Linked DNA regions of Ovis aries. The protein of the gene in region 1 binds, or shares a complex with, the protein of each later gene. Links are inferred from orthologs where the notes say so. Each region holds a gene or a part of one and is shown on either strand. Other genes may lie near its edges.

Region 1 (4,091 bases):
TAAAAGTAGCAGTCGCTGTAAAGGAAGAGAAGGCAGAATTTAGGTCACAGCTGCACACATCTTGGGAGATTTGATGGTGTAAACATAAGAAAGAAACAGAGGATAATTTTTAAAATTGATACAGGAATGAGAATTACCACCGGACCTAGGTAAAGGTGGAATTGCGTCAGGTGGACATTTCTCTTAAGTGGTGAATGAGTTCATTATCTTAATCGTGATGATAGCTTCATCACGGAAGCCCAGGAGGCACATACCTAGGTCAAAACTTACCAGCGCGTACCCTTTAAGCAGGTGTAGTTTATCGTGTGTCAGTTATACCGCGTACAGGATAGAGCTGTTAAACGCACATACACAGGAAAGATTACGCTGAAAGACAGCTGCAGACAGTCTCCGATAAATCGTTTTCTGGGGAGATGAATGGAGTATAGGATTTAGACTCAAAGTATCCCTGGAGGTCCAGTGGTTAAGAGTCTGCATTTCCACTGCAGGGGGCACAGGTTTGATCCCTGGTCAGGGAACTAAGATCCCCGGATCCCTGGGTTGGGAAAGATCCCCTGGAGAAGGGAATGGCAACCCACTCCAGTGTTCTTGCCCGGGCAATCCCATGGACAGAGGAGCCTAGAGGGCTAGAGTCCATGGGGTCGCAAGGAGCTGAACATGACTTAGCGACTAAATAACTAAAGGATATTAGGGCTAGGACGCCCGCCTGCACACACGTTGCCGGCTCCCGCTCAAGACTCGAGTCTAGACGACGCGGGGAGGGGCTAATGGGGGTAGGACCACCGCTAGACGGTCCCAGTGATGAACCTTCCCGACTTAACCCCTTACCCTGGTCTGGGTAGAGGGCAGTCGGTTTGGTGCCTAACTGCTTTTTCCTTGAAGCCAGAACTCTGGTTGGGTGTCACCCCGAGAGTCTGCATCAATATTGGATCGCAAAGTCGTCAAGGAAAGAGAAGGAAATCTTTGAACATCACTCTCCGCCGGTCCTAAACCGCAAATGAAAGATGGAGATTTCACAGGCGGAATTGGCCGTGGAGCGGACTTCCCCTTTGTGAGTGGAGAACGGAGATCTACAGGGGTGGACACCGGAAGAGAGGAGACGGAGCCGATCCGCCGCTCTCCGACTCTGCAGGATTTTGAACGGGCCCACTTGCTCCAAGTATTAGTTTCTAGTCGACCCTGTAAAATCTGAGGACCCAGGGCCGGCAGACCAAGAGGAACTACATTTCCCAGCAGGTCATGGGTGCTGGGCGCCGGGTGGTGTTTCCGGCGCGTGTGGAGCAGTCCCTGGCGCCCGGTGTGCTGGCAAACTCATGGATCCCGGCGGCCGGTGGCGAAACCTGCCCAGTGGGCCCAGCCTAAAGCACTTGACCGACTCGTCTTACGGGATCCCGCGGGAGCAGCAAAAGCCAGCGTTGCAGGAGCTGACGCGGGCGCATGTCGAGTCTTTCAACTACGCTGTGAGCGAGGGGCTCAGCCACGCGGTGCAGGTGAGCTTGGCCTCCTCCCAGCCGTTCCTCAATTTTGGGTTCTCCGGCGCCTCTAGCCCCTGCTACAGGCGGGTGAAGCAAAGGGGCCTGGCGGCACGGCGGATGGGGTGCGGGGTGTGTGAGGCGCTGGAGAAGGAAGAGGGAGAGGTGAGTGAGGCTTGGGGCCTGGAAGAGGGGAGGAGGGATCCAGGAGACGGGGGAGTTGGGCACAGGCCCAGCGCCGGGCTATGTCGAGGAAGGTGCCAGTGAGTCATTAAAGCGAGATTCAGTGGGAAACCTTTGGTCCTCCTTAAGAGATTGGTAACGTCATTAGGTAACATTTACTCCATACTAAAGTGATTGGTCTAGAGGGTGATGGTAGCAGGCTTCAGGTTAAAATAATGGGGTAGGGTCTCATTTAGTAAGCATCCCGGTGTCTCCGGGCACTGGGCTCTGACAGTGAGGGAGAGGCAGACCTATGTAAGAGAGAGTTCTTGCTTGCTATCTTGTTTTGGGTGGAGGTGGTGGAGCTGTGATGGAGAAGGAAATGGCAACCCACGCCAGTATTCTTGCCTCGAGAATCCCAGGGACGGGATGGAGTGGGCTGCAGTCTATCGGGTCGCACAGAGTCGGCACGGCTGAAGCGACTTAGCAGCAGCAGCAGGTGGAGCTGTGAAGGCAGTCAGTGCCAGTACTCTGGAGCAATTCTCTTGCCAAGGGGCTATGTGCGGGGGCACAGAGGAGGGAGGTGCAGCTAACCCAGGGCAGGACCTCATGAATCCAAGAGAAGAGTACGTTCCCTCCAGGGGGAGTGCAGGAGCAGAGCTCAGGGGTCTCTACCCTCTGCTTTTGTTGGGTAGGGCTTGTTCTGCAGGAGGGGTGGAGAGAATGTTGAAAGCTGAGCCAGTTTCTGATGCTTGAACTCTCTTCTGCAAATAATGGGGGAACCATCGAGGCTTCTTCGAAGATTAATACTGCTTCACCCGTTTGCAAAAGATGAGATATTTTTGTCTGATGGGAAATAATTTCTATCGTGCCTGGACTCATTGTATCATGTCTATGAGAAAAATTGTAAATCTGCTTATAAGTTAATTGACCCTGGGATTTATTAAAACAATGAAAAAGAGTCCAGCGTTGAGATGATCAAGGAATCTTTCCGCTAAAATGGGTTCTCTGGTAGCTCAGACGGTAAAGAATCTGCAATGCAGGAGACCCAGGTTCATCCCCTGGGTCAGGAAGATCCCCTGGAGAAGGGAATGGCAACCCACTCCAGTATTCTTGAGGAAGAGCTTGACGGGACTACAATCCATGGGGTCGCAAAGAGTTGGACACTGCTTAGCAACTGAACAACAACATATGCACAAAGAGAGTACAAGGTAAAATGTGAAGCAGAAATAAATTAGGAGTTTGGGATTAACATATACACACTACTGAAGTCAGGTACTTGGTTCAGAGGACAGCTTTGTCCGTAAACAGCTGTATCCCTAGAACCTATTATAGAATCCAACAGTGAGTAGACCAGAAAGTCTTCTTAATGCTGTTTTAGGTACTTAGGACAGGAGTAGCCCAGATGTAGTGCTGGCTCTTTTTAGATGTGTTGCATTAGGATGATAGCCATCAGTGCTTGTAGAACACCTGAAATTTGAAAGAGTCTGAGAGAAAGTGCCTTGCAAGTGCAAGCGGTTGACTGTCTCAACTGTATTTCAGGCCGTCCCTCCCTTTGAATTTGCTTTCAAAGATGAGCGGATCTCTCTCACCATTGTGGATGCCGTCATCAGTCCTCCAGCCGTTCCCAAAGGGAGCATCTGCAAAGAGCTCAACGTTTATCCAGCAGAGTGCCGAGGCCGGAGGAGCACCTACCGGGGAAAGCTGACAGTGAGTATGAGTGACAGCATGCGACTCACACACTGTACATTTTTTTTGAATAAGCCCAGTGCCTAATACGGTTTATACCAGAATTTGGCTTTCTCAGTGCTGTCGTCCGAGAGATCCCATCTTTTAAACCTAAAGCATAAAATCATTTAGTTTATGGTCCTCTGCCTTAATCTTTTAAAATACTCATCTATTCTTTTTTTATATACTTTTTTTTTTCAGTATTCTATTGTGGTTTATCACAGGATATTGAATATAGTTCCCTGTGTAGGACCTTGTTGTTTATCCATTCTAACTGTAATAGCTTCCATCTACCAACCCCAAAGTCCCAGTCCATCCCTCTGTCTCCCTCCCCTAGAATACTCATTTATTCCTACAGATCTAGATAGTCCCCCACTTTTTTTTTTAACTTTTTTCTCTCTCTCATTTTCACTTAGGCCGATATCAGCTGGTCAGTGAATGGAATCTCAAAAGGAGTCATTAAGCAGTTTCTGGGCTACGTTCCCATCATGGTGAAATCCAAGCTTTGCAACTTATACAGCCTTCCTCCAAAAGCCCTCATCGAGCACCATGAGGAAGCAGAGGTACCCACAGGGGAGCCGTGCCCTGAAAGACCTGGTGACAGTAGAAAGGGCCAGAACTGGGAGTGTGAGAACAGAAAGCTTGTCAGGGAGTTCAGTTTTCTTACTCTGCTTTAATTTCTAGATAGGTAACAGGGGCCTTGATGTCTTGTCTATGCTCTGTGTAGGC
Region 2 (3,653 bases), about 41 Mb from region 1:
TGAGCTCTCACCTATACTGTGGCCCTGTATTACACCAAAACTACCTTTAAAAAAAAAAAATGGAATATAGCTGCTTTATACTGTGGTGTCAGTTTCTGCTGTACAGTAAACTGAATCAGCCATACATACACATATATCCCCCTTTTTTGGACTTTCTTCCAATTAAGTCACCACAGAGCACTGAGCAGAGCTCCCGCAGCTCCACAGCAGGTTCTCCGCAGCAGGTTCTCATCAGTGATCTGTCTTATACATAGCAGTGTAGAGATGTCAATCCCCATCTCCCAATTCACCCCACGCCCCTGCCTTTTCCCCTCTGGTAATCATACGTTTCTTCTCCACAGCTCTGTTTCTATTTTTGCTTTGCAAATAAGATCTTTACTATTTTTCTAGATTCCACATATTGAAACCATCTTTTTACATGTCTGTTCTCCTAGATTTGACTATACCTCCTTGAGAATAGAAGATATACTAGATAACTACACATATAAACAGTCTGATACAAGGTACAATTTATATATTTCTCAGCTTCTTCTCTATATTTATTGCATCTTTTAATTCACCTTTTACAATCACTTGATTGATTAAAAAAAAAGTACCTTCTTTGTTCTTTTCATTATATTTCTTGGCAATATTAGACAAAGACCTGGAGACACAAATAAACAAATCAATTTATTTGGAAATCATTCATTAGAAGACAGTTAAATTTTGAATTCTTCTGAAAGAGAAGTATAGAACAGTACTTGAAACTGATGCCAACTTTTAATGCAGAAGCAAGCACTGAAATAGGGAAGAAGACACTGCCACTCTTTGTTGGCATTTTAAGATTCTTTCACTTTCCAAAATAATCTTTGAAGACACATAGTGCCAGAAACCAAAAGGTACATGGATGAAGTGCTAGTGACTCTTTAGAATTTGTGTATGATTTAAAACTCAGGAGAATGAGACACATGTGCATCTTCCTAAAAATGGAAGAAAACATGATCCAAACAACTTACTAAAGGAGAATGAAATCTCTGACAAATACCTGAGCCAAAACATTAGGTAAGGAGTAACTGCTGCTACTAGTCAGTGTTCTGTAACAACTCAGAGTCTCTACTTTCTACTGAGACATAACATATGGAGCCCTTTACTCTGAATAATTAGGGGAAAATAATAAAATTTTTTTCTCCTAAGACTACATACACTTACCATTCTAAATTGTCATCCAATAAAAAGAGCAGTTTCAATGCCACTACAATGACAGCTACAGCTTGCACATCATATTTAACAGTTTTTGCCTTTTTAGCTATAGGATCAAATCTTAGAAAATCCACTTCTCCTATTCCAGTCGCTTTTACCACTAGGCAGGTTAAATTATGCATTTCATCTGTTGAAGAATAAAACAGAAAAATGTGAAATTAAATTCTTTGGTTAATGAGACCATACTAATGTATACATACATGAGATAAGCTTTATCTTAAAATATGATACTATGCCATAACTCTGAGACATACCATTTTGTGTATACATAAACCAAAAAATGAAATGTGTAGAGAAAAACATATGGTCGAATCCTGGCAAGGTCTATCTTCTCCTATTCTGACTTCCCAAAATGCCTGCTATCTATGGCACATATCTTGGCACCAAATATACAGGCACACATCCATCTTCTATTGCTTCATCCACGCCCCTTGTCTGTGTTTCTACAGCAATCTGCATTTACCTGAAACCAACTTTCCTGTAGGACCAAGGGCTTCTCTAAAAATGTGCACTCACTTGGGAAGCTAGGGAGCCTGGCTAGCACACTGGAAGGCCCAGTGTGCACCTCACCTGCTGCCCTGCTTTCCCAAAGAAATTACATGCTCAGCACAGACTCATCTATTATTCAAGGCTGAGTAACTTGGGACTTGGAGCCAGAACACCTACAGCCTATATATTTAGGCTTTCTGATCATGAGCTTTGTGACTCCGGACTAGAGCCACTCAACCTCAGTTTCTTCACTTGTAAAATGGGTTATGGTGAGGATAAACACAGGACATAAAAGATAGGACAAGTGAATTATACTTTGAAAACTCTGAATTACTAAGCAAATTTCTTTACTTACTAACTGAAGTACCTATATTGTGATTAAATTCAAGTAGAACAGTTGTTATTTACAAGAGCATAATAAGTTGTATTGCATTTCCTATATACTGTCAGTCATTATGTTCTGTTGATTCTATTCTCTTAATGTAGTATACCATACTTTTATAACAGTCCAAATAACATTACATACAGTATATACATGTCTCTATATAAAGTATTATATACAGAATTTTATTACTATAAAAATGGTATTTCTTGAAGAATGTCTCCCCTATTTATTTAAAATTAATACCTTGAATTGCTTCTCTTATACTAAAAGTACATAGTAATAAAAAGCAAATGAAAAAAATTATGAGGAAGGAAGCCAGGACAGGAGAGAAAAACTAAGATTCTGACCTGGAGTATTATGTGACCTGGAGTATTATATGACGCCTCGGCCATCCGGCAGCCAGGCGTCACTCAACCTGCCTACGTCTCATCTGAGATGAGCACACCCACCTGTCCTCCCTTTCCACCTTCACGATGAGGTAATACAGATGAAGGCACTTTGGAAACTCTACAGGGTTCCCCACAAATTAAACAGACATGATTATGAAAGCTGCCAGGAATTCTCTCTGGCCAGCTCCTCAGTCCCAGGATGAGGGATAAAACTAAGGGATGTATTTGGAGTTCAGTCAGAGCCACCAAGGAGGCAGTGCTTACTCAGCAAGGGTGTGTGTGTGTGACATGCTTGCTGGAAGCTGCTTTCTGCCCAGTTCCAAAGACGACATTGTCATACATAAAGGCACTGAGGAGGGGCATTCGTTGCCCTAGCATGCTTAAAACCACCTTTAGCTTTCTGGGAACCCGAAAACCTCTCTTTGAAAAAGGGCCAAGTACACAGATCTCTTCTTTTTGATCAACAGCACAAGAGAACTATAGAGTGCAAACTTTCAGCTTTGAAAATGGCAATATTCTAGAAGCCTTCTTATAATTTCATGGGTAGGAGGCCAATCAATGTCACATTTTAGAATGCAATTTCTAAGGTGAAGGGACCACCACATCTTAGTTAGTAGATCTATTTTGTTTACTCTTTCCTCCCACTATTATGTAATATAAACTCAGTATAGGACATTTATAAGATACATAAAGTGGGAAGAAAGAAAAAATGCATTACTATAACTTAGAAATAGCACTTCAATATTGGGATAAATTTATTCCCAATATTTTCATGAATATTTTAATTTTATATAGCTATGATTATATTATATATAATTTATAATTTGGCCTATTTCCTTTTCTATTATGACATAAACATTTCCCATGCTTTTATATACTCTTCACAAACATAATTTTAAAAGATGCACATGGTTCTACTGAATATACAAAATATTTACTTAAACATTACCTTTCCATTGGATATTTATTTCTGATTTCTCAGTATTATAAATAGGGTCAATAACATTTGTGTATAGTTTTTTATCTATATTCCAAATTATTTCTATTGAACACTTTGTGAGAAGTAAAATTTTTCTATCCTGGCTCTTTTTAATATGGTCTCTAAAATAGCACTTTACAACATCAGATGATAGCAGTATCTCTCTGTATAT

Evidence for each region. The genes of interacting proteins can lie anywhere in the genome.
Region 2: POLR1B (region 1) and TAF1B share a complex: the UniProt entries of both Homo sapiens proteins name them as parts of the pol I pre-initiation complex. The link is inferred for Ovis aries from reciprocal best matches to the Homo sapiens genes POLR1B and TAF1B.

What each region holds. Positions count from the first base shown.
Region 1 is NC_056056.1:60,441,245-60,445,335, reverse strand, and holds the start of POLR1B (DNA-directed RNA polymerase I subunit RPA2), read left to right. Parts: upstream 1-1,279; 5' UTR 1,280-1,313; coding exon 1,314-1,490; intron 1,491-3,176; coding exon 3,177-3,344; intron 3,345-3,778; coding exon 3,779-3,925; intron 3,926-4,091. UniProt on the Homo sapiens protein: Catalytic core component of RNA polymerase I (Pol I), a DNA-dependent RNA polymerase which synthesizes ribosomal RNA precursors using the four ribonucleoside triphosphates as substrates.
Region 2 is NC_056056.1:19,135,605-19,139,257, reverse strand, and holds part of TAF1B (TATA box-binding protein-associated factor RNA polymerase I subunit B), read right to left. Parts: intron 1,367-3,653; coding exon 1,189-1,366; intron 644-1,188; coding exon 597-643; intron 1-596. UniProt on the Homo sapiens protein: Component of RNA polymerase I core factor complex that acts as a GTF2B/TFIIB-like factor and plays a key role in multiple steps during transcription initiation such as pre-initiation complex (PIC) assembly and postpolymerase recruitment events in polymerase I (Pol I) transcription.